Linked DNA regions of Drosophila melanogaster. The protein of the gene in region 4 purifies or fractionates together with the protein of the main gene of each other region. This does not show direct contact. Each region holds a gene or a part of one and is shown on either strand. Other genes may lie near its edges.

Region 1 (7,801 bases), on a different chromosome or scaffold from region 4:
CAGTACGGTACACTTGCACTTTTTTAAAAAAATTATGACGTTCGGCAGAGTATGGACATACCGATGGCGTGATGATCAGCGATAGATTCCACGTCAGCGCGGCAGTACGGTACACTTGCACTTTTTTTTTGTATATTTATTTATTTTACATTTTTCCTCTCTCTTTTTTTTTCCTGTGTTTGAATATATGTTTGAGTTTCATTTGGTACTTCACAACTTCAATTTTGTTTTATAAAAATTTGTTCCTAGTCACTTTCAGTCGACATCTTGCATATAGTTTGTTTCGTTTCTTACATGTTTACTTACAGGTAGGTAATTATTAATAGGTAGGACATCCTACCGGCTGCGCCAGTTAAGTCCGTGATCGAGGGTGGAGCCTTTTGTGAAGATATGATGTGTAAATGTATGAAGGTTTTTAAGTTTCAGCAGATAGTTGTAGTGTGAAGATTTCCAATAAAGAATACGACTGACTTTCTTGAAGTTCAAAATCAGTATGAAGTTTATTGTCAGAGAGTGGCTACTCGAGTCCTCCGTTTTCGTCTTATACATAAGTACATAGGTTCTTAATTGTAAGCATAATGAACATGCCGACTCGGCATGTGGCTGGCTAGCTGGGGACAATGTTGCAGTGCGACTTTTGTGTAATGTCAGCATTCGGCCGGAATGTCAGCATTCGGCCGGATGCGGTGTTCCAGTTGCCGTCTTCCCGGTTGAGTGTCCGATGATTTGTTTAGAGGCGTGGGGGTTTAGGGGGTGGGGTGGTAACTCGGGCAGCCCATCCATTGCTCCGCCCACTTCGTTGCCCACTTTTAGGCAAATTGCTTGAAATTGTTTGTAGGCCGCAGGGCCGGCAAATCGCCAACTGCTTGAGTCGGAAATTAAAAGCAGCACTTGAGCAGCAGCCCCCGGAACCCCTTCTCCAGTCATCCGACACCCGAGCCCTGAACACCCAACAACCTACACCCAACACCCGACACTACGATTCACCCGGCTATATGCTATATCTGGCAAATGAATCAGACCTAACCAGGCTGACACCCTGAACGCTTAGACCTGGCCATAAATTCAATTTGTTGGCTGGCTGCCTCGAGTCACCTGGCAATCCCATTCTCAGCTGCACAGGGAAAAAATGTTAATGGTTTTTGTGGAATTATATAATATATATATTTTTCCATTATAAATAGCTACGAATTGTGATACATATAATATATATATGCTTACAGCTCTAAAGCCACTATACTAATTAAGTATACTAACTTACTTTCTAAAGCATTTCTCTCTGTGTACGAGTGGTGTATTTTGCCTCGTCCTGGACACGTGCTAATGCACAAAGCTGGACGTCATTTGTCAATCACTGCTGCGCGTTTAACACATTTTATCAATTGTCCAGACGTATCCGCTGCTCAATCAGCTGTCCTTCCTCGACCAATGAGTCACAAATAAATGGTCAGAAGGCTTTGGAGCATTTGTGGGCCCACTCCACAATTAGTGACAAATTTAGAATTGACTAATCTGTAATTACATCAAAGCTTTACTTCCCTACAGTTTGGTTATAAAACAGGCCTGCCAACACATTATGGAATGTTCCTTTTCATTCTCATACCTTCGCTATAATCCATCCAGTTCAAAGCATAATAATACCTACCTATATAATACAAACAAAACACACTTATATAAAATAGACACATATTCCATTTAATTATGTTCAGAGGGCTTATCTACATTGACTTCGAGGAACTGCAAGTGCAATGCCATTAATTTGCGATAAGAATTCAGTTCGATTTTCAATAGAACACTCACCCATTAATATACCATTGTAGGAGGGGGTATATTGATTTCCGTCAGAAGCTTGCAACGGGGAAGGGAAACGTTTGCGATCATATAAAGTACATATATATATTTTGGATAAGTATAAACAGCCAAGACGATTTAGCCAGGTCTCTCCTTTTATTCGTCCGTCCGTATCTAAGCAAGCTAGTCATGAAGTTGTTAAGTTATCTGGATAAGTCAATCAAAGTGTTGTTTCTACTGCAGGAAGTATGTATATAATAAGTATATCGGACATGTACATCGGAATATTATGACAAAAAAGTACTTTCATTATATATAATTCATTTTAGTTTTTTGACAACAAATAATTTCAAAGTTAATTGAAGATAATAGAATGATACTTTGTTTTTATTCGGTTATTTGTACGGTATACAGAATTATTTTAATAAGTAGTCGAAAGGGTAAATAAAGCTTCGGCTTGGCGAAGCAAGCTTTCGTTTTGTTAAACTTTCGTTTTCATCTAAGAGGCAAGTTGCTCTGACAGAGTCCTTAAACTCTGGGCTTTCTTGGTAGAAATGCTTCTCAGTAAGCGCATTTGACGTGCTGACCCTTCCGAGAAACCCTTATGATTATGTAATCTACAATTTTAGCTAATGTGAATAAACATTAATGCAAAAGCGATATAAAATACGTTTATTTCAACTGGGAGATATGATCCTACTGACATCATATTTCTCTACGATTTTATTCAAAAAGTGGGATATTGGGGAAGTGATGCCACTCCACACATGTTGTTGGCGTTCCGAGCTAGCTTTAAGTAGCCACTTTCTCCCCAATCGGTTCCATAGGAGTTCTTTATTATCCAGTAGTCTCCCCACTTCCGATGGGTTCCAAAGCCGACTAAAAGAACGGAGTGTGTAAGGTCCTGTCTCTTAGATCTGCACGCCGGAATACTGAGGACTCCACCGGAGTACTGATCGAATTCCTCGTGGAGATGGTCAATGGACACCGCCACGGGTCCAATGTTGTAGACCACCTCCGCCAGTTCCCGTTCATCGTAGTTGCCGAGAGTGACGTAGCCCGACAATGTGCCTGCACTTCTGTCGCTTTTCCACAGGCATTCTCCTGATACAGGCTCGTACGGATAGGATTCCTTTGTGGCGATGCCATGGTCCCTGGTGTAGTTAAAGGCCACGCTCACCCAACCACCGCTGCAGCCGTTATTCGGATAGGGAACACAGTCCACCAAGTGCTTGGGTGAAAGGGGAACCAGATTTCCATACTTCTTCGCCATATGTGCCTCAAGAACACCCGAGGTGGAGAAGGCCCAGCAGCTCAGGCACTCGGTGCCCTGGTCTCCCACTGGCGATATATAGCCGTACTGCCGCCAGTCGATTCCTTCGGTGATCTGGTCGTACCTCTTGTAGTTTACAGTCTCCGTAAGTGCATTGGTACTCGTCTCCAGCGGCGCTGGGATCGACGAGCGATAATTGAAGAGGATTCTCTGATCTGTGTCGGAGAACTTGTTTAGTCCCATCTTGAATGCAACCTTTCCCTGCAAATAGAGCTGGTTGTGGCTTTCCACCGCCAGGACCCTCTGTTCGTATAGCGCCCGGTGGTATTTGTCCCTGTTCCTGTACTGCTTGTTGTACTTAGCCTTGTACTGGTCCCACTCCGTATCGCTGACCGCAGTCAAACCTAGCTCCACAAGGAGCAGAAGGATTAGACCGTGTACTACGGTCAGACGAGGCGTGCCCATTGCGAACTGATCGCGTTTAAAGTAGATTTGTAAATGATTTTGAGCTGGAAAAACTAGAAATCAAGAGCTTTATGTTTGCCTGGCGGCTGCGAATGCATTATCTGGGGTTATTTATGTGAACTGCTTATTGGTTTTGGGAAATTGGAAAAGATTACGATTAAAATGCAATATTTTGCTTATGTATAAAATTATATTATTTATTTATATGGTTTCTGGTTATAGGCTGGTTGTAAGTTACTTCTAATAGCTATAATTATATTAGCTATAATGCTTGCTAAGTTTACTTACTGAAAATTTATCTATATAAAATACATTTTCAAACATTGTAATCAAAATGAATTTGTTTAATATATTATTTTAAAAGTATCAGACCATCAAAAAAAACTTTATAATATAAATATACTCATATGAACTAATCAAGAATCACGCAATAGTTAAGTAAAGGGTAGCGGATAGTCGATTCCATCGATTTAAATTATAAGCAGTTAAGATGGAAAAACCATCCGTCCAGCTCCATATCTCGTGCTTTTCAAGCTGCCAATCAGTTGTAAGTCTGCATTGGGCATGATCTCCCTTCGGTTGCTGGTACTTCAAGTACTTTTCAATCTGCTCTTCGTGGAGTTCGGACTGACCTCGGTGAGCGATGTGGAGTGGGCGCGGTACAAGGCCAGATACAAGAAGCGTTACGGCCTAGAGGACCGATACCACCGGCGAATACTCGAAAAGAGAGTGCAGGCGGTTGCCAATCACAACGGACTCTATTCCCAGGGCAGATCGGGATTCAGGATGGGCTTGAACCAGCTATATATCGCCAGTGGGGAACCAGGGCACCGAGTGCCTGAGCTCCTGGGCCTTCTCCACCTCGGGTGTTCTTGAGGCGCATCTGGCGAAGAAGTACGGAAAGTTGGTGACCTTTCGCCCAAGCACTTGGTGGACTGCTTTCCCTATCCAAACCAGGGCTGCAACGCTGGTTGGGTGAGTGTGGCCTTTAACTTCAAGAGGGATTATGGCATTGCCTCCAAAGAGTCCTATCCCTACAAGCCCGAAAATGGAGAGTGTCGCTGGGACCGCAGAAAAAGTACAGGCACCTTGCGGGAATACGTTACACTAACCAGCAACGATGAAAGGGAATTGGCGAAGGTGGTCTACAAAATTGGACCCGTGGAGGTGTCCATTGACCACCTGCACGAGGAATTCGATCAATACTTTGGTGGCATCTTGAGGACTCCTTCGTGTAGAAATACCAACTACGATCTCAAACACTCTGTTCTTTTAGTTGGCTTTGAAACACATCCGAAATGGGGCGACTACTGGATAATAAAGAACTCCTATGGAACCGAATGGGGAGAAAGCGGCTACTTTAAGCTGGCTCGAAATTGCGAACAACATGTGTGGGGTGGCAACCCTTCCCCAATATCCTGTAATCTAACCATAAATGTCTCCCATACCCTTAAGAAACTATCTTGTTCCTTTTTCAAATAATTTTCCATTCTAGTATTTCCATGACTAGTATTGCGAAACTGGTATTGCCCTGTCTTACCGAAGCTTTAAATTGAGTTAGCCCGTTAAGGTCGATTAGAAGCATGCTGATATGAGGCCGTTAGAGGATTAATTCCGAAACATCTTTAAAGTTTAGGGTAAGCCGTTTAGCCGGCTTTGACCGCCGCAAAAGGGTGTTCCGAATGATTAATCTACCAGGTTTCGGGGATGAGAATCTTGCCAGGAGACGGCGCTAATGTCGCTTTGCATCCCTAGATTTGGCGAATTATAATGCTGCGGTTGGCTGCCTCATTTGTCGGGTGTTTCTTGGCCCCGCGTTGGGCGCCAAATCAAATGCGCAGGCAGCGCGGCCTAGCCCTTTCCCCTGGGAGGCATGAATTTGAGTTATGACTGGAGCGGAACTTTTACGGGCAACCGTAAATTTTTGGGGCACTGGCGCTGCCACTGGCTTAATATTCACACCTTTCGCGGGGGATGGCCCAGTTATTTATGCGCACGCATTATGGTTGATAGTGCGCTGCAGGGGCAGGGGCAGGGGCAGGGGGAGGGGTCCTCTTTTCTGGCTGATTGCTGATGGGTCATGGTTTATTATTTACTCTGAAAGAGACAGAACGACACACCGACCCACTGGCCCGGATCCTGGTCCCGCTGTTATTGTAATTGAAAGGTATAAATAACATTAGGCTAACAGCAAATAAATTTATGTTGTTTATGCTTCCTTTCTATCTCTCGCCGAGTGTGTTTGTACTCGAGCTTCCCTTTGACCTTTGTAAGCACTCTTCAGGGCTGTTGCGTGCCGGGGCTAATCGCTCAGGGGCCATCCGACGTCGAGGAGCGAACTGCCATCCGTCCTGGCCGACGACCCATCATCTTTCATCAATTTATTGGCGTTTCTGGGTCCCACCGAGCCGTTGTTATTTATTATTTACACTACACATTGATTACTATTATTGCTAATATTATTATTTGTATGGCTGCCTCTGGGATCCGCTCCTTATCGCTTATCAAACTCTGTTTGCCGCCCTCTGCACTTTTCGCTTGATTTTGTCCATTTTCGGACCGCATGTTATTTATGAACTTACGACGTTTGCCACGGCCTCAAGGTATTTTTCAAATAATAAATATTCCCTTTTCGGTTTTGCTTCTCTGGCTATTTGCCGCACGTTTTTGGGTCCACCCAAAAAGGGTATGTCAAATTTATCGGGAATAGTGGAACAGTCGATGTTTAAGAAGTAAATGAACTGACAGTTTTTTTTTTACCAGAGTGTATAAGTTTTTAGCCAGTGCTTAAAATTTATAAAATATTAAGTACACGTACATATACTTATTTTTTTACCATTTAAGTTCCATTTTAAAGTAAATTAAATGTACAAATAAATATTTCGTATAGGGTAAATATTTTATTCAAGTAAAGTATCAAGTAATAAAGTAATCAACGCTACTATTTGCAAGATGGTCCACAGAGTATTCGATATTCAAGTGAAATTTTCTCTCTTTATTCGACTTTAACTCTCTTATCTCCTTTGCATATAAGCATTTTTTTATTTATTGCATTTTTATAATTGAATTTGAATAATACATAGACACAGCAGTTGGCCAACAAGGCAACTTGGCTCGAATGTCTGTCTGTCCATTTGTTTGTGTGTATTTTTGCGTGTGTGTGTCTGTCGCTTTGTGGGTTATTAAATTATTGTTGCCTTTCTTTCGCTGTGTGGGGACTAGACAGGCATGCAAATACAATAAATGTATTTAAAATTGACAAATGGTTAGCAGCATTTGTTGTTGGCATTGCTGTTAGCTTTGTTAAGATTTATGTTAAGGCAAACAAAAATTCACAAACATGTATGCAATTGTATAAATTAAGCAGAATTCAATTGAGCGAGTGTGAGCTTAGAAATAAAGTAACTTAAGGATTTCCCATGAATTTCATTTGAATGTCTTGAGCAGTGGCCATCTGCCATCTACTTTAAGCTAAATTTGGTTTGTTTTTGTTTTTCAATTTAAGTTGCTGTGAATTTGACACTGTTCTAATTACGTCACTTAATTGAGTTTCTCAATTACCAACAGACCCTAAGGTATTGGTGATTTTTAAATTGACAACCGCACATTTAATTGTACATCTTAATTAAAATGGGTTTGATAGAAATTTTGCTTCTAACTCTTTGACGTCAAATGAGCAACCGAAAGGATCCCGTTAATTTTACTAATTATTATGTTCAGATTTTATTTGTTCTGATATACATAACAAAACCAAAGAAGTACTGTCTGCTACAATTTATACCAACCATATGTGCCTGTTTTGATCAGTAAAAGATTCATGCTCTTCTAATTAACTTTTGTGGCACAGTAGACAAATGTACCGAAATCAGCTTAACTACCCACATGCTCCCCTCGCCTGCTACCCAATTCCCCTCGGAGGCCCCAGCACGTCTAAGCTCCTTCTATTAAATCTGTATTCCGGGGTACGAGACTGGATGGGATACGCAATGGAATGGGAAGGTGGGGCATATGTGGGTACCGCCGATTGCATTTGTTTTTGCGACAGTGCGTGGCCACTGCTCTCGAAGTAACACTGTAAAAAATGGCACTTTAAGGCAATATCTGGATATACCCTCTGGATATATTCTTAGATTGAAAAGGCTGTCTAGACTCGTTTTTTATTGATCCGTCTAGCATTCCGTTAGTCGAGTATTATTTGCATTCCAATTTCTATTGATGTTTCAAAAGAATTTTAAATTTCTTTCTGAGTGACTGGTATTCCTCTAGATCTGA
Region 2 (6,962 bases), 1.4 Mb from region 4:
ACGTGTTGGTGCTGCTGGTCCTGCTAGCACTGCTGGTACGGCTGGTACTATTGGTAATACTGCCCTCCGGATTCATGTCCAGATTAACTCCCAGATTCACATCCACATCAAGGCCCAGACCCAACTCCATCTCCGTCTCCATCTTATGGTCCAGATCCAAATTTAGGTTCATCCCCGAAGAGATCTTATGTTGTATATGCTGGTGTAGCTGACTCAATTGATTCAATTGGTTTAACTGATGGAACTGATTCAAGTGGCTCAACTGATTGAGCTGGTTCAGTTGGTGATTCAGGTGATGTTGATGCTGAAGGTGATGCTGTGTCTCACCAAGTGATCCAGCCAACTTTTGGCCCATAATCATGCTGTGCCGTGCAGCCAATACTTCCTGGGGCAGATCGCCGAGTTTTAAATGCAAATCCTCCATTGCTCGTCCTCTGTCACAATAGATATTCCCAAAGGCGTGGTATGCTGGTTACAGGACAGTGCTTGCTAATTCGGCTAGTGGACTGATGTATTTGATGGTTGATGATTATTCTCGGTATTATATTTAGAATTTTTGTTGAGCTGCTTCGTTGGACTTTTCTGCGGTTATCTTATTACGGTCTGGAGGAAAACCGGAGAACGGGCAGTCGTCTACACACTTGGGACCAATAATCCAACAGAAGAACACGATACAGATACGATAATTTACAACAGTTTTTAGTATGTTGCCGAAAGATAAATTTTGCCGATCGAATGGAGGGTGTATGTGTTATGTATACCTAGAAAAGGCCCTACGTCAAGTAACGTAGACGGTAAAATCGCTGCCTACTGTGCTTGCTAATGAATTTATTTGTTAATATTACTTTCTAAAAAATATGTTGTACTACTTCTGTTCCCAAACAAAGGAAAGGCCTTAGCCTAAGCGTGTGCAGTACATAAATAATGGAATAAACGGAAAACCTCAACAACATAACAATTTTTGGGTTCCAGTTTTTCGCTTGGGTCGCTTTCGACCCAAAAAGGACGACTTTTCCGCAGGCCAAAACAAGCCGAATCCGTTTATCCAAAGGAGCAACATGTAAAACAATATGCCACCGAGGGCCCAAAAGTTATGCGTTAAGCAAACGAATAAGGGGAGCGCCCCGGGCCTGTTTTTAGACATTGTGATGAGGTGCGAAAATCACAAGAATTGGATTTTGTTCTTGAATTATGGCCAATCTTGCTCAAGGGTTGCTCTTTCCCATTTTGGGGCTCTGGCAATTGGATTGCACTAATTTCGTGTGTTTTTGGGTGCTCTTAAAAAGGCTCAAAGCGGATAATCCGACATTAGTGAGCGACCCTCAAAGAAAACGCAGTTGGCATGGTTGGGTGTTAATGTGCCGCGTCACTTCTCCATTTTGACTCGACTCCGCAGTGTTGGGTAATTTCACAATTTTCAAATTACGCACCACAAAATCTAATTTAGCTGAGTAAAGCCAGTTGACTGGACTAAACACTGGGTCCAGAGTGCGCAGTATTCTGCACACACACACACACACACACAAGATACTAAATGAGTTGCCCTAGTGATTGGTGGGGGGGGGGGGGGGGGTTTGGTTGGCTGTGGAGAAAGAGTTGGTGGTGCTGCATCATTGTAATGTGCTCGCCTCACGCTCGCTTGCCCCGTTCAACGGGCGTGAAAACAACGTAGTCGGTGCTAGGTACCTAGGACCTCTTGAAGCTCCGAGCTCCCAAAGACCAAACAGGTATTATCACAAATGAGGAGGGGGGGAGGGGGGATGTGTGTGTGGGACGGAGACGTAAGGCCAAGGACATAAGCGTGACTAAACCCCAAGCGCAGTGACTTCCGCCTCCCTCGAGGGTGTGGAATTAATGGGGATGGCACGGACCATGGCCGCATTCTGTTTGGACCCTTTAAATGCTAGTCGGTGTCGCAACAATCAGTGAACTCAAACAGTTGCCCGCACACAATCGCTTATTCAGTGAGGAACTAATAGCTTCGCACATTCTGCTAGGGATGGCGAAACAGCAATGCACGCTGATAAGATAGATTTTCAACATAGATTTGAAAAAGCTAAAGCGGTTATCACTAAAATCACATATAATACTGTTAGATAATGATATATTTTATCTATTAGAGTCTATTTTTGCCATCGCTAATCAAACCGAAATGAAGCATTCACACATATGTACTGCACATACATATATACATTGGTATATACTGCAGGTGGGACAGGCGAAAGTAAATGATTTGCGCCCGAAGCTGACACCACATCAAACACAAAGGACGCGATTGAGGTCGCCCGTCTTAGTCAACGTATCCTTGTTGATATGACCGCAAGCTCAAGGCTCTCAAATGCCAGCATCACACCTCAGAGGGGTCGGGTGGAGTCTTGGACATCGGCCACTCTGCCTTCGAGTTGCATTTCAATTAGCCCGTTTAGCTGCTGGCAACCGGTCGAGGGGAGGCAGTGGGGCCCCAATGCAGCTGACACACAAGTCGCCTGGGATTCAGGGATTGCCTTCGCCGCACGTCGATCAGCTGGAAGGAGTGGACTTTGCGGACCGCACCGACCATCAGGCCATCAGGCCAAGCGGCCATCCTGCGTCGTGTGTGGGCTTATCTTACCTGCCAAAGGATCTGCGAAACTAATTGGGGATTACTCGCAGGAATTATTACCTACAGTAAGTTGATTTGCTCGTTACTGTGTTCTTTATAGTCTCAAATGGATTTAGCTCAGAAAGAAATCTGTCTTATATACATTATACTAGCACTTAATGTGTAATTATATTCACTTAAGTTGGTTTTATTTGATTTTAATTCAATTTATTAAAAGTTTACATTTGAAATTTTCTTCTATCAATTAGTTTGCCCTTGCGGCTCAGCATTTAACCTCTTTAGCGCCTGAGTGCTTTTTGGTGTGAGTTCTTCATCGCGACCCTGGTTGTCAACCATGGCAGCACTGGTTCCACTCGAGATCCTCTCCTGCAGCCGACTATGTTCCGGGGCGGCGGTGATGGAGGAACTGGGCTCGTTATGATCGCGATGTTCGTCCGGATCCAGGCGACTGGGCACTATCGAGTAACGATAGTTCTTCACTCGCAGATAGCCGTAGATTAGGGCGTCGTGGAGGCTTACTGTGATCTGGCGCTTCAGCTCCTCGTCGCTGCGATCCAACCGATCGGCGACCGCGTCCATGATCTCGGGTTCGGTGAGCGGATGGTCGGCATCGGCGATCACCTGTAGGATGTTGCTAAACAAATTCGGAATGAGTTTGCGGCGCGGTGCGCGATTGTAGCTGCTGTGCAACATCCTGCGATCTGTGGGCTCTGTGCGGAGACAGTTCCTGCCTAAAATATGTAACTGTTGATGTGACAGATAAATCTACGACTGCTATATCAATCTTTCTTATCAGAGAAGTAATGGAAAGCTTAACTTTAGAGTCGCATTTTTAATTACAGAGAGAACTCTTGGGTAAATAGAACTTTGTTTGCTATTTATTGTAAATTGCAAAAATATTCATTAAAATGCATACTTAGCGTTAAACCCTAAATATTCCACATTTCCACTACTGAACTGTGAGTAGAGTTTCCATACTAATAAGCATAGGCATCAAGTATCTTTAAGTCGCAACCACCGACTTTGGCGTCGAGACAGTAAGTTAGTCAGAGTTTGGTGGGCAGGATAAGATTGTTGGCAGGGGGCAGACAGGCAGACAGTCTGAATATCGATTTACAGTTAAAGTTGCTACTGCTGCTCCTGCTGCGGATGCGGATGCGGATGCTGGGGGAAAGTGTATGTGTATGGGTAATCAAGTACAAATGCGGGGGACTCCAAGTAGAGCCGATGACGCCATAGACACAAAGAAGGAACTGCGACAGGCGCTTCAAATTTGCATGGCATCCGGAGGGGGTGGGGGAGGGGGGTTGTGCAGCGCCCTTCGCAACATTGTTAGTGTAATTTGTTGTTATTGTAGTTGTGTCTGGCACGTGTCGCTCGGAATTTAAGATAGCAGAACATTTTTAGTGAAATGGATGGCTGGATATGGATTGGATGGTTGGGCACGCGAGGCATAACACAATAACCACAACCCGATTGAAATCTCCGCGATTGCAAAATCGCATTTATCTGGCCGCGAGGGGTGGCTAATGAGTTTACCATCCGCAAAACCGCTGTTCACCAGCGCTATGTATCTCAAAGTGCGTTGCATTCTTAATTACACCATCGAATGCTGCGAAAGCTGTCGGCAGCAGGTACGAGATACACAGTGAAGCTTGGTTAAGCTGGCATTAAGTTTTAAATGCTTTCATATATATATAATTAAAATTTTGTATGTAACTTTTGGTTTTATAATTTATAAATTGAACTCTTCACATGCCAATAATTTGATATATATATAAATATATTTCTCAGTGCATCTGTACATGACTGGCTTATACTGGAACCCAATCACCATCTCCATATTCCCCTTAGCAGCTGTCAAGCTTGATTAGCAACTTTGAGCAGTTGGAACGAAGCTAACTTTTGTTTCACATCCATTTCGGTTTCATATTATTTTCCACCCATTCAAACTCCGACTCCAAAGCTAAAACTGAACTCAAAGCTGGAGCTGGAGCTGCAGCTGAGTGTTAATTATGACTGACAGCGTTGGCAAGCGCTACACATTTCAGCACTTGGACACCACTCAACTACTACCCAACCATCCAACATCCGACCGAACGAGCCAACCAGCCAACCAGCCAACCAGCCACCCAACCACCCAACCACCCACGTCCAGTGGCTGCAAGTTTGACTAATCCGGCGCCAGTGATTAGGCCGGGCTCCAAATGCGACTAGTAACAATTAAAGCCAGCCAGTTGTGGCTGGAAAAGTTTATCCCCCCACAAAAATCTCATCATATCACACGGAAACAAATCACGCACTTCGTTACTACTTCAATCGCGAAGATAAATAAGAATTGTAATATGGAATAAGACAATTTAGAGTTTAATAGTAGTTTAGTGTTAAATAGTTTGGATTGTTAGAGATAATATTCAGTTACCACATTATCAAGCATTTTTCGCAGTGCACTCCTCACTCATGCAATTAACTGAAACTTTTATGCTCCATTTGGGGGAGAGGAGTGATGCAAGAATTATGACTCGAAATCAGGCGAGCAGCGCACACATGGAAAATAATTTATTTTACGATTAGCGGCCCCATACCGCTACGCCCTCTTTTCCTTCTGGCCAGCGATGCGAATAAGTGACTGGGCGTCATTTACCCGCTGGTCGGTGAATAAGTGCCATGTGCCATGTGCCCATATGCTATGTACTACGTACTATATGGCAACTGGACATTGTCCATTGGTAAAGCGGCGTCACTGGCGTCAGCAATTCCATTCGACGCCATCACCAGCGGAAGTTTTGCCATTCAAAAGCGACGGGCAATAAAGAGTACAGTGAGTTATCGATGTAAGGGCGACTGTTGGAGGTAATTTTCTCCCCCCGATAAGGATAACATCGAAGTTGGCCTATCTTACCACTTAGCGTAACATAACTATTTCTTTTATGCATTTAATGTCTTAGTTCAGAATTATTGTAGTTTAAAACTATCTTTTGATAATCCCTATTCCACTCTACTAGCTTCTTTTCATATTTTGAATCGCTCTTGCCAGCTATTTGCCACCTTTTTTAGGACGATTAAAGCTTATGAGCGCACATAATTTTCCCACAAAATTTTCTTTACCAAGCAAAATATGTAAGAGTGTGATGTAAGTGGGTAAATATTTGTAAAAACAAGCGAATCGTAAACGTGACGCATACTATTCGCCATCCGGCAAGTTTTCGCCAGTGAAAACGATCCCAAAGTTGGCTCCTAAAGCTCGTCCCGAATTGCCTTTCTTCTTTAGTAAGTAGTTAAGTTAATTTTCAGTGTGGCAACATTATCGCGCGGGTAGGTGAAAGTGCGTGTGAAAGAAGTGAGAGTGAAAGTGAAAGTGAGCCAAGGACAGAGCTGAGGCACACTCAAATAATACTAATAATAATAACAATCTTCGAGGGGGCAGGCATCTTAATGGGAACGCTAAGCGGAAAACTTTTTATGATTTTTATTAGTTTCGTCTCGCGATGGGATGCCAAACAAATGGCCAGTCAGGGTCCCCCTGTCGTAATATATATTGGCATCCGGGGGACTGTATTGGGATTGGATTGAGTGGGGATCGGGGATTCTGGATTGGGCATTGGTCATTGGGGTTTCGCCTTGTCCTCTTGCTGGTCGAGATTTATCAACGCCACACGCGATGTTCGAGTTGCTGGATTGTTGGCTGCATGTCGATATGGATATATATGGGCGGTCAGTTGAGGGGAGAGGAGAGAGCGGCGAGTTCGAGTCCAGCTCCACCCTCGAGGCGTTGCTAATCTAATTTGCAGTTATTGGCGGGCCAGATTAGCACTCACGCACTCAAGGCGCGCGCACATGTGTGTGTAATGCGTATCGCGTGTGCGGAGATTCCGTGCCGAATTGCCTATAATTCGACGCAAAATGCACTCGAAAAAATTTGCTGTTTTTCTAACGTTGCTTCGGCATTCAGAATTGAAACGTGGCTCACTAACACTTGCCATATACATAAATCAATTGCAGTAGCTTTTACCCACTACAATACTAGCTGTGAATTTACAAGCCGCTTGGTTATTTCGCCAAGTGTAGCAGATACAAAGTGAAGCAGAAGGACATATTACCATCTCAGGGCTGGGGACCTCGAGCTCGAAGGACACAGCCACAACACACACACACACACACACACACACACACACATTAGTCGAAGCTGTGCAAGTGCAAAACATAATGAAAATGATGTCAGTTTGATAAGATTTCGCCGTGGGACGTGTGCGGCTGGGTGGTGTGATATTCGTGAGTGTTATTGTGAGTGCGAGTGTGAGTGTGTGAGTGCTCGCATGTTATGAGAAAAGTTTCGCCGCTTAAAGATGTTTCGATGCGA
Region 3 (8,028 bases), on a different chromosome or scaffold from region 4:
TGGAGGCTGTTCTCCGCGAACTGATCATCTCGCAGAAACGCATCGAACTGGGTCTGGAAGAGTGCAGCCGACAACAGCCCTATCCGCAATATGGCCATCACGACGAGTCCTATCTTCCCACCTACGGAGCTGAGGTCCCAGAGCCGCAGCATGCTCATCCTAAGCCCAAGCAAGTGGATCTGGAACAGGTGTGGAGCATCAAGGAGGAGCCCAAGCACGGTAAGTGGTCCTTATTGCCACCAGATTAGGATCACAAATTAATGGCTTGTCGTTCATAGGAGAGCACTCTGGAAACCACAAAGCTACCGCCTATGCCCAGTCCCCCGAGCCAAAGAAGAACTATCAGAGCTCCAGCGCCGTGTCCTGGCGGCAGACGGTGCCGTGGGAGTACGGATCCCCATACCAGTCCGCTCCAGTTCACCACCATCAGCCATGGAACCCAGCTCCGGCCCACGTTCCCACCTCCGTTACCAAGCCCAAGCCGTGCCCCAAGAAAGAGCACCCTACTCCGGCATCCTATGTTCCTTTGCCACATGACCAGCCTGAATCCTACAAGCTTCCTGTGGATTACAGTCCCAAACCTAACCACGAGCAACCTCATAAGCCCCACCACGAGCCACAGTCTTACAATGAGGAGATCTACAAGCCACAGCCCATCCAGCCAGGAGAATCCTTCAGGATTTGGTATGGAGACAGTTCCCTCCCCCAAGGATACTAAAGGAAGATTTAACTGGGACTACCACTGTTACTGAAACTGATACAACTTTTCAAAGCATTTAACAAACTCTTTTTTTTTAATTCAGATTCATTACTTTGTACAATTTTTATGTTTTATAAATAAATAAAAAAAAAGCAAAGGAAATACATTTTTGATTATATTCCTAGCAAGTAATTAATAAATAACTTTTGAGAAAAAATGCTATAGTTTCATGGAAATCATATGCATCAACTTTTAGCATCGTATGCGAAAATATACATTCAATTTCCAAAAACTTTTCTCAAAATCTATTCAAAATATACGAAGAAATTTTTGTTATTTTGTATGTTTTGTAGGTAAATAAATTCACCTTACTATTAACCTATGCTATTGTTTGTTGATAGAAGCAAATTTTAAAAATATTTTAAGCTTTTTTAAAAGTTAATAGTAAAGGATCCAAGTTTGTTTAAATTTGCAAAAGGCATCTTGGCCAATTTTTGAATAGGCATGATAATATGAAGGATAATTAATTATACTGCTGTTTTCGAAATAGGAAACAAAATATAGACTTATTAAACTTTTACAAAATTACTTTAGTTCGCTTTATTACTTTATTTCTTGTAAACGATAGACAGTATGCCCGAAAACATTTGTTACGTTATCATTACCTTCGAAGACCTATTTTCTGAATGAATTTGAACAAGAAGCAGCTGGGGCACGTTTTTCAGTGGTGTTATTACTACCGTAGCACACAAAAAACCGGGTCAATCTGTTCTGTTTAGAAACAAAGAAGAATTTTGAAACGTGACACTACACGGATTTTCCCTAACTTTACCAAGATGTCGATGAACCAATAACTATTTAGTACGACTACATGCAACATAATTCGCTTTAGTTCTTTCTTTTTACAAGATGATAAAACAGTTGTTCGCGACTATCTTCTTAGTAGTAGGGAAATTCTCGTAAACACACTATTACAGATTGGAGCAGCATTTGCACCTGCACCCGCTGAAGAGAAGTGGGTGGTGACCGAACTGATAGAACTTAACCCAGTCTAAGACACGTTTTGGACCTTAAGTTGGGCTACTTAAGTTGCGGTTCGGATCGAAAAGAGACACTCAGCGGGGAGCGGCCATCAGAGAAACACCATGAGAGTGCGACTGACTTTGCTAACGATATGCATTTACCTATGCGCGGCTGCAGCTGAGGATCTGGACTCCATCCATGAGATCCGCAGTGAGGTGGAGGAGCTGATCAAAGGTACGGAGGAGCTAAACCATGGGCTGCAGAAAGTGAAGGACGTGCAGAAGGGCATTGAAGAGAAGTTCAAGCATCAGCGCGACGAGATCGAACTCATTGCTGGATTGGAGGTTGCCATAGCCAAGCTGGAATCGAACGTTCAAAGCAGCTTCCAAGCCACGGCCTCTGGAGTGGGAAATTTGACAGCCATTGTTAACGCAATCCAGGGTCAGAATGAAAACTCTATTAGGAATCTTACCAAAGTGGAGCTAGAAATCAGGAAAGCCCTGGAACAAGTGGCTGCCAATCAGAACAAATACGAGCAGAACCTAAATGAAGTGGCCTCATCCGTCAACTCGCATCTGTCGGAGATTCAGCAGCTGCTATCACAGGCCGTCATAGGGGAACTCATCGGCTTGGACAATAAAGCGAAGGTCCTCCAGGAGCAGCAGCGCAACATCGTGGGTCAAGTGGGATATCTGGGCGAACTTAAGGCTCTGGCAGATCGTGCCAATCGCAAAGTCAATCAATTGGAGTGGGGTCTGGTCATTCTCAACCGCACTCAGTCCGAGAGCCTCAACAGCATCGAGCACACTGTCCATGGAGTGCAGGTGGCCACCTCACAGGTCGATCATAAACTGGCTGCCCTACTGAACAATCAGAAGAACATTGAAAGGACGCTGGATGGCTGCAAGCACAAAAATCCGTCACACCAGAAGCCCCACGAGATCTGGACTCACCCGGAACACGCACCAATTTACAAGTAAGTTTGTATGCCCTACTTCTGGGTGCACACTAAAACCACTCTTTTCATTTTAAGGCCAAAACCAGAGGGCAATCAAGGATACGAGAACGTCTATGCATCCCAAGAAGAGGCTGAATACCTATACAAACTTTGGTATGGAAAGGGCCAGTAGCATTAATACGAAAACTGAAGATAGATGTTTTATGCCATATTCAGAAATTGCTTGATTTCCTATATCAAATCCCAGCATGTCGATTCTATCTATCTTATATAATTGTATATTAAACCGTTCTGTAACACAATGTAATAAACAAGAGTAAATGGAGGAAATCGAACTTTATAAGTTGTATATTGCTAAAAAGTGTTATGTCCAACTTTATATATCAATTGTTGGAAAACTTATAAAACTAGATAAATGCACCTGACATAGAGGAAACCGGCTCTACCTCTATAATTTTGTTGGATCCAATGGATGAACCTGACCATCATCCCGCTCAAACTTAATTATCAGCTGCGACTGATGCTGGTTCCAGTGCTCCGATCGATGTAATTTAGCATTCGTCTTCGAACGGAATTCCTCGACTGACAAATCGATCTCAATTTTTTCGTTACTTGCATCCGGATCGGCGGGGTAAGCATCATCTCCTGGCAAGAGATGCACTAATCCATTTGTACACTTGTGCACTACAGGATGAATCAGCTGAATGCCTTTGACCTCACGCTCTGCTGCAAACTGACGCAGGTTATCTAAAGAGGAGAAGTTTAGGCAGCGCGAAAGTTCATAGAATTGTGGAGGCGGCAGCCAGAGTTCTTTTCTTAGGCTCGCTTGAAGGTAGTCCAATGGGGAACGCCACTACAATAATATAAATGATAGTACATTAAATGCAACTTAAAGGTTTCGCGTATCGCTCTTGTGCCGTATAATATCCCACCCACCTACCGCAGAATCCTTGACCTCATTAGGTTCGATGTGAACCCTGGGTTCCTGTTCCAGGGCAGTCATAAAGAAGGCCGTCTCGAAGCGCTTCTTAAACGTGGACGGCGTGCGCCAGACAGACCACTCGTGAAGTGACCAGACATCTGGAAGCACATCCAGCTGCTTGCAGAGCTCCAGGAACTGGCTGGCATTGTTGTGGACGATGTGCTGCCAGTGGGCGCGGTCAAACTGGTCATAGAACGCTCCATAATCGCTAGTGGAGGTCAATGATTTGCTGTCCCTGCACAGCAGGATACCCAACTCCTCGAAGGTTTCTCGTATGGCAGTCAGCCGCAGAGCTAGGGATCTGTTAGGTGCGAAAATAATGTTACATCACCAATTTCCTAAAAACCTATTTGAGTTGCATACGGATCCAGCGATTTCTTATCTGCCTTGGTGTGGAAAATATCCGGACGTGGACCCTTCACGTGGCCCACGTTCCGCAGCTTAGCGGCACTGAACTCGTTTCTCTGAAAGTGTTCCAACCAGGCAGGCGAACTGTCCGAGGCATCGCAAACTCCGCCAGGAAACACGGATGACTCCGGCATGAAAGTGGACTTCTGCGTGCGTGTAAGGAGGAGGGCCTAGACGAATAGATTACGTCAGAATGGTGAAGCTAAGTTAACGTTAAGCTGCAACTCACATTGTAATCACACGACGTGGACTTTTCAACTTGGTTCTTAGCCAGAAGGATTAAACTTGAGGAGGAGCGAATTTTGGGCAAAAGCCTCGACATATTTAGGTAACACAGCGATATCGATAGAGTGGGTGGTAATATCGATTGCTCACCAGCTGATTTTGTTTACACTTTTGAAATACCCACCACCTGTTGTAGTCAGATGGTGGGGTGGGGTAGTTTATAATTAAAAGAACTTCTGAAATTAATTTAAGTAAATTATTTTATTAAGCCAATAAAATATTTCTAGGTTTATTTATTAATGTGAGTACTTATTTAAATTTCACATTCTATCACTGAAGTCAATGAAATATAGGATTTTAATTCATTCCCTCACCTAATGTCAGAGGTATCCGAGGGTCGAGTCTTTTGACTAATGCGTTAAAGCATTAACAACAAGCTCTTATTGCTTTGAGACCAAAGATCAAAGGTTTGAAAAAGTGGATTTGGAAATTAAATGGATTATTGACTATAATGACTACTAAAACTGGAACTTATAGACCTTCGGCTAGCCTTATTGTAGCCGCCAAAGAGGATTCTTTAGAGGACTACGACTACAGAGTATGTTAAGTATAAGATTATAAGCTCTAAACGTTTGCTGACTGATTGTCTTTTATTAAAGTTATTGTTGATTAAACGAACTGAAAAAACTTCCTATGCATTGAACCATTGCGTCTTTCCTGGCGGCGTCTTCGATCCTATAGAAGATCAATCTGCGAAATGGATAACTTTTTTCAAATCCTTTGGGGTGACCGATGAACAATTAAAAATGTGTAGGCACAATCAGGATTCTCCAAGGCCTGAGTTTCTATCCGGTGGAGACCATATTTCAAGGGACATTGCACTGCGACTGACTGCGCTCAGGGAAACCTTTGAAGAGGTGGGCATCTTGATTTGCACAGAACAGGACGACATACAAAAATGGGATTCTAAATCGGGTCATCCTAGAACCGTGCTTCTCGAGTCAAGCGAACACTTCGAATGGCAACATCGGGTTCACAATGATGCCTCACAGTTTCTGGAACTCTTTCGGCATTATAAAGTCATTCCCAATATCTGGTCTCTTCAGGAATGGTCCATTTGGAGGACAGCAGCCACTGCCAATCGGAAATATGACACTGTTTATTATATCACCATGTTAGATAAGTACACCAGGAATATAAAGCTGCTTCTGGAACCGCACGAGGTGGCTTCGGCCCACTGGTTGAGTCCGATCGAGGCTTGGTCGAGCTCACAGAAAGCCATTATTTGGCTCCCGTTCATGCTGCTCTATGACATCGCTCGTCTGATGAACTTCTATAGCTTTCAGGAGCTTCTCAACTTCTCCCGCCAAAGGAGCTGCAATGGAAGCACAATGGTGCAGCCCGTCTACTATCGCTGCGATGACTGCATGTTTGGAGTTCTTCCTGGTGATGAGCTCTATCCCAAAGAACCAGGCGCTTGTACACAAACAATTATCTTGTCGGGATCGGTGGACGACCTTCATCGAAAGTCCAAGCAATACAATCGCTATATCGTCTACGACTTCCACAAGGTCGTACTGGCCTCCAATATACCGCCCTGCGATGGGCATCTGCCACTGCAGCCTCTTGTCAATAACAAGCTAGCCAAGTTGTAGTAAAAGAATATAGTTTTAATAGAAAATATATATATTTCCTCTTGCGCTACAACAAGTTACCACTATCCAACTCGGTCTGTATGGCGCGGCATGCGTGGCACAAACCGTCCTTGTTCTCCAATCGCTTCTTGGCCAAGCCCTCGAGATCTTGTCCGCTTTTGTACAGGCTCACGCCGGCCTCTGAAACAGATCTGGAGTACTCAATAGCCAGCAGAGTGTCGGATAGTTCGGAGTCCAGTGTAGATCGACAGTGAACACAAGAGGACTGCTCTGGATTGGAATTGACAGCTATTTTGTCGCCAGTTCGGAACACTGTGGATACTGTGGAGGCGAAGTTTTGCTGCAGATTGGCCACAAAGGCTGATGTAAGGTTCTGTAAGCTGGCAGTCTCACCATGCTCCATCCCATAACGTGAGCCTTTTTGAAAATGTGGCTTTAGACGCTGTGCATGTATGTAAAATTGAATCTCCTGCTCAGTTAGGTCCTTGAGAGGTCGCAGCAGCTTAACATCTCCAGACAGCCGATCGTCGAGGAGAGCCACATCCAAGGCGGCACTACCGCCACGACCTAGCGCTATTGCAGTCAGCAGCTGGGTGGCTAAGTCAACACTTATATTAGATTCAAAGACGTGAGTACATTGCAGACACTGAGCCACGGAGCAGATGAGGTTCTTGCGCTGTTGCTGGAGGTAATCCTGGCGAGCTGTCAGACTTCGCAGTTTTTGAAGCTTGTGGATAAGCTCATTGTTTGCGTTGAGGAAAGGACTATAATCCTTGATCCGCTGCAAGGAGCTGGGCAAGGCGCCCAGTTCAATCACATAGAAATCGAAGGGTGCGTATTGTGTTGATAATCTCTGCAGAGCTTCCAAGTCCACAGGATCGCGACCTTGCACTTGCTGCTCCTCCACGTAGACCACACGTGCGTTGCAATGGAGTCTTTTAAACGTGTTCTGTGTTTGCGCGAAGTGCAACATGTCGAGCAGAACGAGCGACTCTGCGGACCCGTCCAGGACAAGAAGCACCTCGGCGTTTCTGGGCAGAATCTTGGCGGCTCCCAGAGCTGCCCGAAACTTGTGCCTCGCATACGCTAGAAAGCATTCCCGGCACTCCGCAGTTCGGAAGTTGAGTTTGTAGAGCTCGCCGGAGTTTACATCGCATTTGCTGCAATTCCCTGGACTGAGGACGATTCCTAATGGTAGGGATTCCACTACCATGGCGTGGGCGGCACCCTCGTCTCCAAAATCATCTTCACCAATGCTGCACATGGCAATAATTTACGTCTAATCCACAACAAAAAGAATTTCGCAGATAAACGAAATGACCAGGGATGAATACGTTGTGAAATGAATGGATACAAAATAGCGGAATTCTAGACAAATGTCTTCTATCTATAATCTATCTATATAGATTATCTATATTTAGTGTCAAAATTAGACGGCAAGCTAGCGCTTTCTTATAATATAATATCGAATATAATATATCCAATATAATTTAAAAAAGCGTAAACCTTTAACTTATATTTTAAACTCATATATTACCTTTAGCTACGGTATAGTCTATAGCTGTCAACACTGTTTCGAGGGCATTCCGTTATCGAAGGCTATCGATATACCTGGCAATATATCGACTACGCAGCCTAGACTCGTCAAAAGCAACCTTGCAACAGGAAAAGTGCAGTGAAAAATATAAAAATAGCTGTTCAAACCACAATTTGTTGTACAAATCTTAATAATAAGTTAAATTTAAGCATTGAGGTATGTGTCTTTGGAGTTTGTGTTGAAAAATGGGCTCGAAAAACCCAAGAAATTTGGGCGCAAAAAACTGGGTGCTGCTAATACGTATGTATGTGAGTTCTGCGTGCCTGTGTGTTTGTGCGCGCTGTGTGTGTGCGTCGTGCTTGTACGCAAGCAAAAAGTATCGGGTAGCAAAATCGAGAAACTTTCTTATTGACGATAGCAGATGGGAAGAAGAAGCAATTAAAAGAAGGAAGGAAAAAGTACGACAAAAAGTAAAATAAACGCCGAAATCCAATTTCAGAGATTAAAAGCAGAAGCAACGGCGGTAACAGGAAGTAAGAA
Region 4 (7,883 bases):
TGTCCAAAAAAAAAAAAAAAAAAACTTTTTAAGGTTAGAGTTAAAATGGCGGCAAGGAGGACTCACGTGTTCTTGGTCATGCTACTGGGCGTCACTGGAGTCAAAAGCTTATGCAAGCAGTCGGTCATTTCGTTAAAGTGCGCCTTGTGGCACTTGATCTCCTTCATTTTCTTCTCAATCTTCTCGGTCTTCTTACCAAGCGGCTTCAGCATTCCGTTCTTCTTCTTGTTGTTCTTCTTATTGTTCTTGTTGTTCTTCTTGCCATTCTCCCGGCCATCGTTTCTATCCGAATCGTTTGCCATTTTCGCTTTGATCAAATCGAAATAAAACCGCAAAACAAATTCAATTCACAACAACTTTGTGTTCGAAACAATTTGGGGCAGCGCACAATGTAACTTTTTGTTTCACAAAAAGCAAAAAACAAAAAAAAAAAACAGAACGCGCACAAAAATCAGAAAAAATATTCCGAAAAATATTCAGGAGCACAATCAGTAAATTCGACTAGCCTCTATGAACTCGAAACGAAAGTGATTTTGGCTAGTGCCTTGCGCTTACAGGAAAACTCGGTGCTTGCTAATCGTTAGGAAAAATGTGCTACAGCGAATTACACGCCTGCCCCGTTAAAAAAAAAGCGAAAAAAAAACGAGCAAAAAAAAAAAATAACGAGCGAGCAAATAAGTTTGTCAAGTTAATACACATAGGTATTTGAATTTGTATTTGTATATATGTATAATAAATATCCTTTTTTTTATTGTGACGCATATTTAATTAGCGCAAAAATATTTCGAAAAATCGCTAAATTCGTTTTTTTCTACTGGTTGATTTGTTTTTTTTTTCATATAAATGTTTGTATAAAAATCATCGATTTTGATCTTAGGCTAAAGTTTTTTTTTTTGGTGGAAGTTAAGGATTCGCTTCGAAAGAGACAGGTGGGCACAGACGCGATTCGCTTGGCCGTGCTCCTCTAATTGATGATAAAGTTAGTTATTGGCTTGGTATGGGCAGCATGGTATGATGACCTCGTCCTCAGGATGTGGCGAATATAGTCTTGCAGTGGGTGATGAGCGAGGAGAGCATAAAGATCTCCTCCGTCAGGTTGGTCATGTGCTGGGGCGTGGCAATCAGGGTCGGCGCAAATACGGTGGCCAGATTGTGCTCGTTCATCTTGTTAACGGCGTAGTGGGAGGCCACCCTGCGGGCAGAAGGTTTTTTTTTTTACTTAAGATCGCATTGACCATGCTGGCAGTCACACTCACCGCTTCAGGTGCTCCAGCATGTACTGCAGACAGCTGTGGTGGGCGGGCGGCAGGCGACGCACTGCCTCCGCCATGAGCTGGCGCTGCTCGGCCTGCTTGCCGGTGCCTGCAACAGATCAAAATAGATAGAGAGATAGATAGATGTGAATGGCATGGGATGAGGTGCAGCATAGCACCATAAAACTCACGTCCTGCTGCCATAAAGCTGGGATACGCCTGGAATGTGATGAGCGGCACGGGCAGTAGGCGCAGGTAGAGCTTCAGTGTGCCGGCGATCACATTCACATTGCCATACGCCGTCTCCGACATGTCCGTCTTCTCGCCCTCGCGATCCAGGGCGAGTTTGAGTGCCTCGATCTCATCGGCAAAGCCGGAGACCCGATAGATACCCTCCTGCAGCATGCCCCGGGCCTCCACCTCCTCCACGCAGCGGCGCACCACGAAGGGTATCTGGTGGTGGGGCTCCAGCTGCACCATCGTGGTCAGATCCGTGCCAAATACGCCGCGTATGCGCTTCAGATCCGGCACACACTTGGGCGGCACCAGTTCGGAGCACTTGCTGTGCGCCACAAAGCCGCACGCCTCACACTTGACGCCCTGGGCGGTGAATCCCCACAAGAAGTTGGCGCAGAACTCGCACCAATTGAGCCCCTTAAACGTGTGCACCTGTTTGGATCAGAATCTTCCATTAGATGCTATGATCCTTTATAGTTGGCTTCTTATGTCTGAACACACACCTTGAAGTGATGCGGCTTCTCGTAGACCAGCGGCATGGGATCCACGGCTGGAGGCGGTGGCTCCTCCTGCTTCTGCTCCTTCTCCTCGGCTGGCGATTCCTTCGATTCCTTGGCGGCGGCCTTGCCCAGCTCATTGGACAGAGCCCTAAGTTTCCGGCCATTTAAGGTCATGTATGGGCTTTGCTGGTAGCAGTTCTTGGTCTGCTGGTTAATCTGCTGGATGATGGGACTGGCGTGGAGCTGCATGTGAAAGTTGATCAGCCCGTCGGCGACCATGTCGTGCACCGTGTCGAAGCGCTTGTCCTGGCCGCGCAGATAGTGTCCCACGCCGGGCTTATAGAGGAGCTTGTAGTGCTTGGGTCGCTTGTTGAAGCGCAGGCTAAGCGTGTAGTAGCCATCGGATTGGGGGCTCCGGCGTACAAAGTAGCTGCCGTCGCGGGCATTGGCCAGCAGCTGCTCCGCCTCCAGGTGGCCCATCAGGCCATGGTACTCGGAGCCGTATAGCCTGCCCGCCAAGTTATTGGCCTCCACGGCCTCAGCCGTGCTTTTCGCCGGCGGAAGGGGCAGTGTTCGCTGGCAGCGCAGTGGACATGGAGCCGGTGCCTCCAGCTGCAGTTTGTACACTGTGCGTGGGCGGGTAAATGGGTAAGGGGATGGTTAGTCATATCATAAGCTTGTGGGTGGCATACGAGGTGCTTCTCCACTCACATTCCGGCTTCCAAACCTTCTGAACCGGAGAACTGGGCTCGGGGGCACCGCCTACTCCGCCGGATCCACCGGTATTCGCATTTCCGGCGCCCGCCTCCGTGTTCCGGGGCATCCTCCCTCGGATTAGCAGGCCACTTGGTCAAAAGCCACTAAGTAGGCGGCGAATAATTAAGGAATGCAGCCAATTAAGTAAAGTATACAAATAATTTTGTCCGAGCGAGCAGAGCTGCCAGACTGGCGAAAATTAGCGCGGTATTAAAGTCGGAAGAATACTAAATTTAAATGACTATAACTTTAGATAAACTTTATAGTAAGCTTATTGAATTTATTGATAGCTAAACTACATTATATTGTTTTGTAAATACTGTAGTATGCAGTGGTTCTCACTTAATAATCAGTTTAAAAATGTCCGAAAGCTCAGAGCACAAGAGCTCGCAAAAAATACCACAAACAATTTGCTTAATTTCAGTTAAGTTTCCTAAATATTTCAAAAATTTGCATCAGTCGTAATTTTAAGCAGCCATTTATTTGATTGCCATCCGCTTTCAACAAGAAATAAAAACAAGAGCTAAGGTTTCAATTGGTTTAATAGTTTAAGTACGTTTCTTTTGTAAAAAGACCTACACATTCATTGGATCTCATTTCATTATTTATTAAATACAAATATTAAATTATTTAAAAAAAAATAAACATGTAAAACTTCAAAATGCGCATTTAAATACGGACACACGCCACCGACGCATATCAGCTTTAATTTAGAAATACTTTTTCGTGATACTCTGGCTTTCCTTCCTTCCATTGAAGTATACTATGGTAATTCATATATATATATATATAAATGTATCGAGTGTGATTGGTACAAAAGAACGACTGCACTAGTTGATAATTACTGATTAACCTTCTAGTGTCAATTTTAGAATAATACGCACATTCACAGACGCGGTAATTAGTTATGGTTAATCATGAATCTATGTCTACATCGTTGGTTAATTTTGGAAGTGGGAATAGCTCCAATCTCGTAGTTTTAGTTTTTAGTTTTCAGTTATTAGCTGCTTGTGTTAAGCACTTTCCCCTGTATTTGTTATATCTCGATATCCTTGGTCGTTGTCCTTGGTTTTGAATGCTTTAATGCCGGGGTAAGAATGGCTAAGTTGGAATCACGGAGTTGGAACTTCTGGCGGAATGAACGGCTCATCTATGTGTAGCTTGGCAGGTGTGTTTAGTGTTGGTGTGTTGTATTGTGTTGGATATAGCGTTGCTTCTATTGTCGTGTCGCTGGACAGTTGAACAGCTAGAATCGGTCTGATCCTAACCGCTCATGACCATGCGCACGAACTCCTCGTAGTTGATGTTGCCCTGCTGGTCCTCCATGTTGGCCAGCAGCTGCTCGACCTCCTCGTCGGTGAGCTTCTCGCCCAGCGTGGTCAGCAGGTGGCGCAGCTCGGCGGAGGAGATATAACCGCTGGCGTCCTTGTCGAAGTGACGCAGTCCTTCGATGAAATCATCAGCCGTATCGCCCGAGCGGGCCTTGGAGATCGCCTGATAGATGGGCAGGAACACCTCGAACGAGATGCGCTCGTCGGGCTTCAGCTGGTGGGTGCACTTCTTGACATCCGACTCGGTGGGGTTCTGGCCCAGGGCCCTCAGACACTCGCCCACCTGGCTCAGCTGAATTTTGCCATCTCCGCGGTTGTCGAACAGGTTGAAGGCCTCCTGGAATTCTGCGAATGGAAAGTGCGTGCTGATTGTTGGCAGATGCTTTACAAATCTTAATTATTATCGTTACAACTTACAAGAACCCTTCGATAAGGGATATAATATATAATACCTACATAACTACTACATATAAACGTATGGAAATGTGAGGGGGAACTATAGCTTTCTACCACCCACTAAATGGCTAAATGGATCACCTTCCAGTGTGGTAAAGGTTTGCTTCACATGCGCCGTATAGTAATACATATTGAACCACTCCGATGACCGTTTTGCCAGCTACTGACTGCCTGAAACTCCGCCTGCCCGGATTTGGCTGGCCATCGGATCGAAGCGGATCGGATCGGCTCCGATGCAAGCCACCACTCCGCCTTCCTTGGCCATGGTATACCCTCACGTCGCTGGCAAACTTCGTTTCTCTACCGGGAACTGCCTGCTTGCAAGTAAGATAAACAACCCAGAAATCCTAAGTTTCAAAGTTTTTCGTTTCGAGGCGTGACATCGCAAGTCCATTTCGCGTGCAGTTGGATTTAAGCAAGTGATGGTGTAAGTTAACCAAGCTGCAAAAGTTCTGCGATCTACGTGCGTAAATAGAACATTGTGGTTGGGCTCAATATTTTGTTTTCAGATCCTCTAAAGATCTGAGCACTAGAGTGTTCACCATTCGATGAATTGCTGGGATGTGTTCGGTTATCATGCGAATACGAGATCCAAAAATGGCAATAAAAACAAACGAATCCAGCACATTTTTGTCCATTTTAGGCAATGACAAAACGTCGACGGCTGGCTAAAGATTGCAACAAGGTAAGTTGGAATTGGAAAATAAATATATGGTATATGGCTCGTACATAGGCATATGCGGTTGAACGCTGACGTCAGAGTGTCACGAATCCAGCATGACGGAATTATCAGAGACCATTGACTTTGATTAGGTTAAACGAGGGGATTGCGTAAAGATTCGATTCGATTTGATTCGCCATGGAATCGAAATCGTGTTGCATTTTTACTTAGAGAGAAGGTGATGTTCCGTAAATGGAAGCTGGTTTTTTTTTTTTTTGTCAACTGACTGGCTTCTTATCGCATGGCTATTCGGTTTTTGCAACTGCAATTGCAGTTTTATTTGAAACGAGCAGCCGGCGAGTCAGAAAACCGGGTGATTATCCCATTAGACCGCTCTGTTATCTATATTTTATCGCTCACTTCCTTTCGCTTAAACAGTGTTTTTTTTTTTTTTTTGTACTCATACCGAGGTGTTGGTTATGATTATAAGCGACCAGTTTCTGTCTTACAATAACTGCTCTTATGATGACCTACAAACTTGGTTTACACTAGCTTAAGACTAGCACTAGCTTGTTGGCAGAAACTAACTAGCTGATGGTCGAATAAGTTTGTTGCCTGCTATGCATATTATCAATTAACTTGGTGTGGGTTTCGGATAACCGAAAGAACTCGGATTTATCAAGAGATATTAATGCGAAACTTGGTACACAGCCGTGTGTCGCTATTCTATGAAGCTATTCCTTGGACGAACATAATCTGCTGATCAAAGCCCAAAAGTAGCACAGTTTCGATATGTGTTGTCAGCTTGATCTCGGATGTCTTTCGAAGTCATCACGTCAAACTTTGCCTACAGCTGCTCTTAATTAAAGCATTTTGGACAGGGTATTGCAGTGTTTCGGTTTTGGGACTTTCTCGCCGCTTTTTAGGTGAGTCACGATCGTATTCGTATGGCTGCCGTCTGCCTTCCAGCGTATTTGCTTTATCAATGATTCATGCACACCACACAAATGTACGTGCCATCGCTTTCCCGCATTCCAATGCTGTGTGGGAGTGGGAGGGAGAGGGCGCTAGGTGCCAGCGCACATATCAATACTATACACATATATATATCTGTATATATATATATATGCGATTTGCCCGACTTTTGACTCCTGGTACTTGACCCCGTCTGGTCCTCGTGCGATTCAACTCACCAGCCAACTGATCCTCGGTATAAGCTGCCTGCGGGGAGAGAGAGAGGGGAAAGAAAGGAAAACAATGAAGGAAACTTGAGTGCTGGCTTCCAAAGGCGCCGGAAAGCGCACTTCCAGTGCGATCGTAAACAGTAAACAGCGCCGCAATAAACAGCCTGCACTCACCATATCGATTTGTTTTTAGCTATCTGAGGGAAAACAACACAAAATACACGAAATATTGAATATTGAATTCGACGTCGAAACAAAACGCAAGCAAATTCTGAAACGTTGTTGGTGTTAGTGGTCGCCGATAGTGGGCGCAATCGATAGGCCACTCGAAATTCGATAGGTGCGACAACATCGATGAGTGCAGGGAGTTTAGTGAAATCGAGCAGTGCTGCCAGATCGTTTCACAAGAAACCGCCACACGTGCCGCCGATTTGTTTTGATTTTGGATGCATTGGATCCTGGCCAAATTAGTTAGTCCCCGATGAGCACACAGAAGGTGGAGTACGACGCTGCGTTGGGCGGCCGGGTCACACTGCCGTCGCACGTGACCACGTACCATTATGCGGCCGAGGCGCTGCAGGAGATTCGCAATTTGGTGGCCGACTGCCAGGAGACGACGCAGCGGAGCAGCAAGCTAATCTTCCAGACGCTGCCCAAGCACATGCGCCGCCGCGCCATGTCGCACCATCCCAAGCGACTGCCGCGCAAGTACCGACAGGCGCACAAGTCCCAAATGGGCAAAAGCGGCAACCAGCCGGTGAATGGGAAACGACCATCGAGGAAGTACCGCCGGAGACCCAAGAATCTGATGCGTGAGTACGTGCGCCGGCAGAGGCGGCACGTCTGGCTGGAGACGCACATCTGGCACGCGAAGCGATTCCACATGGTTGACCGCTGGGGCCACCGGTTGCCCTACGCCAGCTGCGACAAGACCTACCGCGCTTGCTATCGCGCCAGCGCCGAGCACTGCCTGCTGCAGGACATCTCGTTCTATGGTTGCGTGGAGTTGCGGGGACCCTTGGACATGCTACGCGAGGGATTCGCCCGGCTAACAAGTCCGCAGTGTGGCCTTGGGATCACGGCCCGGACTTTTCTGAGCGGACGACGTGAGGGCAGCGTGGAGTTATTTGAGGATGGCCGCTATCCGTATGGAGCCCTGCAGCGGGCCAGTTTTATGTGGCGGCCACGGCGGGAGGAGGAGGATGAGAAACAGACGAATCACACGCTCTGGCTGTGGCTACATCCCAGTGGCGCTCAAGCTGTTCTAAATCAGCTTATAAGCGTGTTCCAGCTGAAATCCACAAGGCAACAAAAGCTGCCTTTAAACGAGGCTGTGACTGAGGAAAAGATGGATGTGGATAAGATTGAGCCAGTCGAGTTGTCCAAGGAAACATCGCCTGGCAAGAAAAACTCGAAGAAGAAGCCTGAACAGAGGCCCCTGCGCTTCTGGACAAAAACGAAAGCATTCGATCCACAGCCTAGCTACTTCAATTCCGACGGCACTC

What was found.
Region 1: the proteins of Mlc-c (region 4) and CtsL3 purify together in Drosophila melanogaster (affinity purification with mass spectrometry, with the first as the bait; one large-scale study listed by BioGRID). This does not show direct contact.
Region 2: the proteins of Mlc-c (region 4) and CG12691 purify together in Drosophila melanogaster (affinity purification with mass spectrometry, with the first as the bait; one large-scale study listed by BioGRID). This does not show direct contact.
Region 3: the proteins of Mlc-c (region 4) and CG10194 purify together in Drosophila melanogaster (affinity purification with mass spectrometry, with the first as the bait; one large-scale study listed by BioGRID). This does not show direct contact.

Annotation. Positions count from the first base shown.
Region 1 is NT_033777.3:6,023,674-6,031,474, forward strand, and holds CtsL3 (cathepsin L3), read right to left. Parts: upstream 3,566-7,801; 5' UTR 3,530-3,565; coding exon 2,519-3,529; 3' UTR 2,153-2,518; downstream 1-2,152.
Region 2 is NC_004354.4:4,262,493-4,269,454, reverse strand, and holds CG12691 (uncharacterized protein), read right to left. Parts: upstream 3,359-6,962; 5' UTR 3,296-3,358; coding exon 2,843-3,295; 3' UTR 2,786-2,842; downstream 1-2,785. Other genes in the region: CG15572 (uncharacterized protein), read right to left, coding at 1-424.
Region 3 is NT_033779.5:19,485,679-19,493,706, forward strand, and holds CG10194 (uncharacterized protein), read right to left. Parts: upstream 4,427-8,028; 5' UTR 4,394-4,426; coding exon 4,301-4,393; intron 4,242-4,300; coding exon 4,027-4,241; intron 3,965-4,026; coding exon 3,622-3,964; intron 3,535-3,621; coding exon 3,130-3,534; 3' UTR 3,004-3,129; downstream 1-3,003. Other genes in the region: CG13084 (uncharacterized protein), read left to right, coding at 1-219, 279-718; CG13083 (uncharacterized protein), read left to right, coding at 1,846-2,699, 2,757-2,853; CG18094 (uncharacterized protein), read left to right, coding at 4,808-4,894, 4,956-5,951; Ctu2 (cytosolic thiouridylase subunit 2), read right to left, coding at 5,998-7,215.
Region 4 is NC_004354.4:5,615,865-5,623,747, forward strand, and holds Mlc-c (myosin light chain cytoplasmic), read right to left. Parts: upstream 4,712-7,883; 5' UTR 4,664-4,711; coding exon 4,615-4,663; intron 4,423-4,614; coding exon 4,010-4,422; 3' UTR 3,272-4,009; downstream 1-3,271. Other genes in the region: CG34434 (uncharacterized protein), read right to left, coding at 67-302; RhoGAP5A (Rho GTPase activating protein at 5A), read right to left, coding at 1,027-1,192, 1,257-1,362, 1,445-1,922, 1,994-2,616, 2,702-2,813; POP1 ribonuclease P/MRP subunit, read left to right, coding at 6,860-7,883.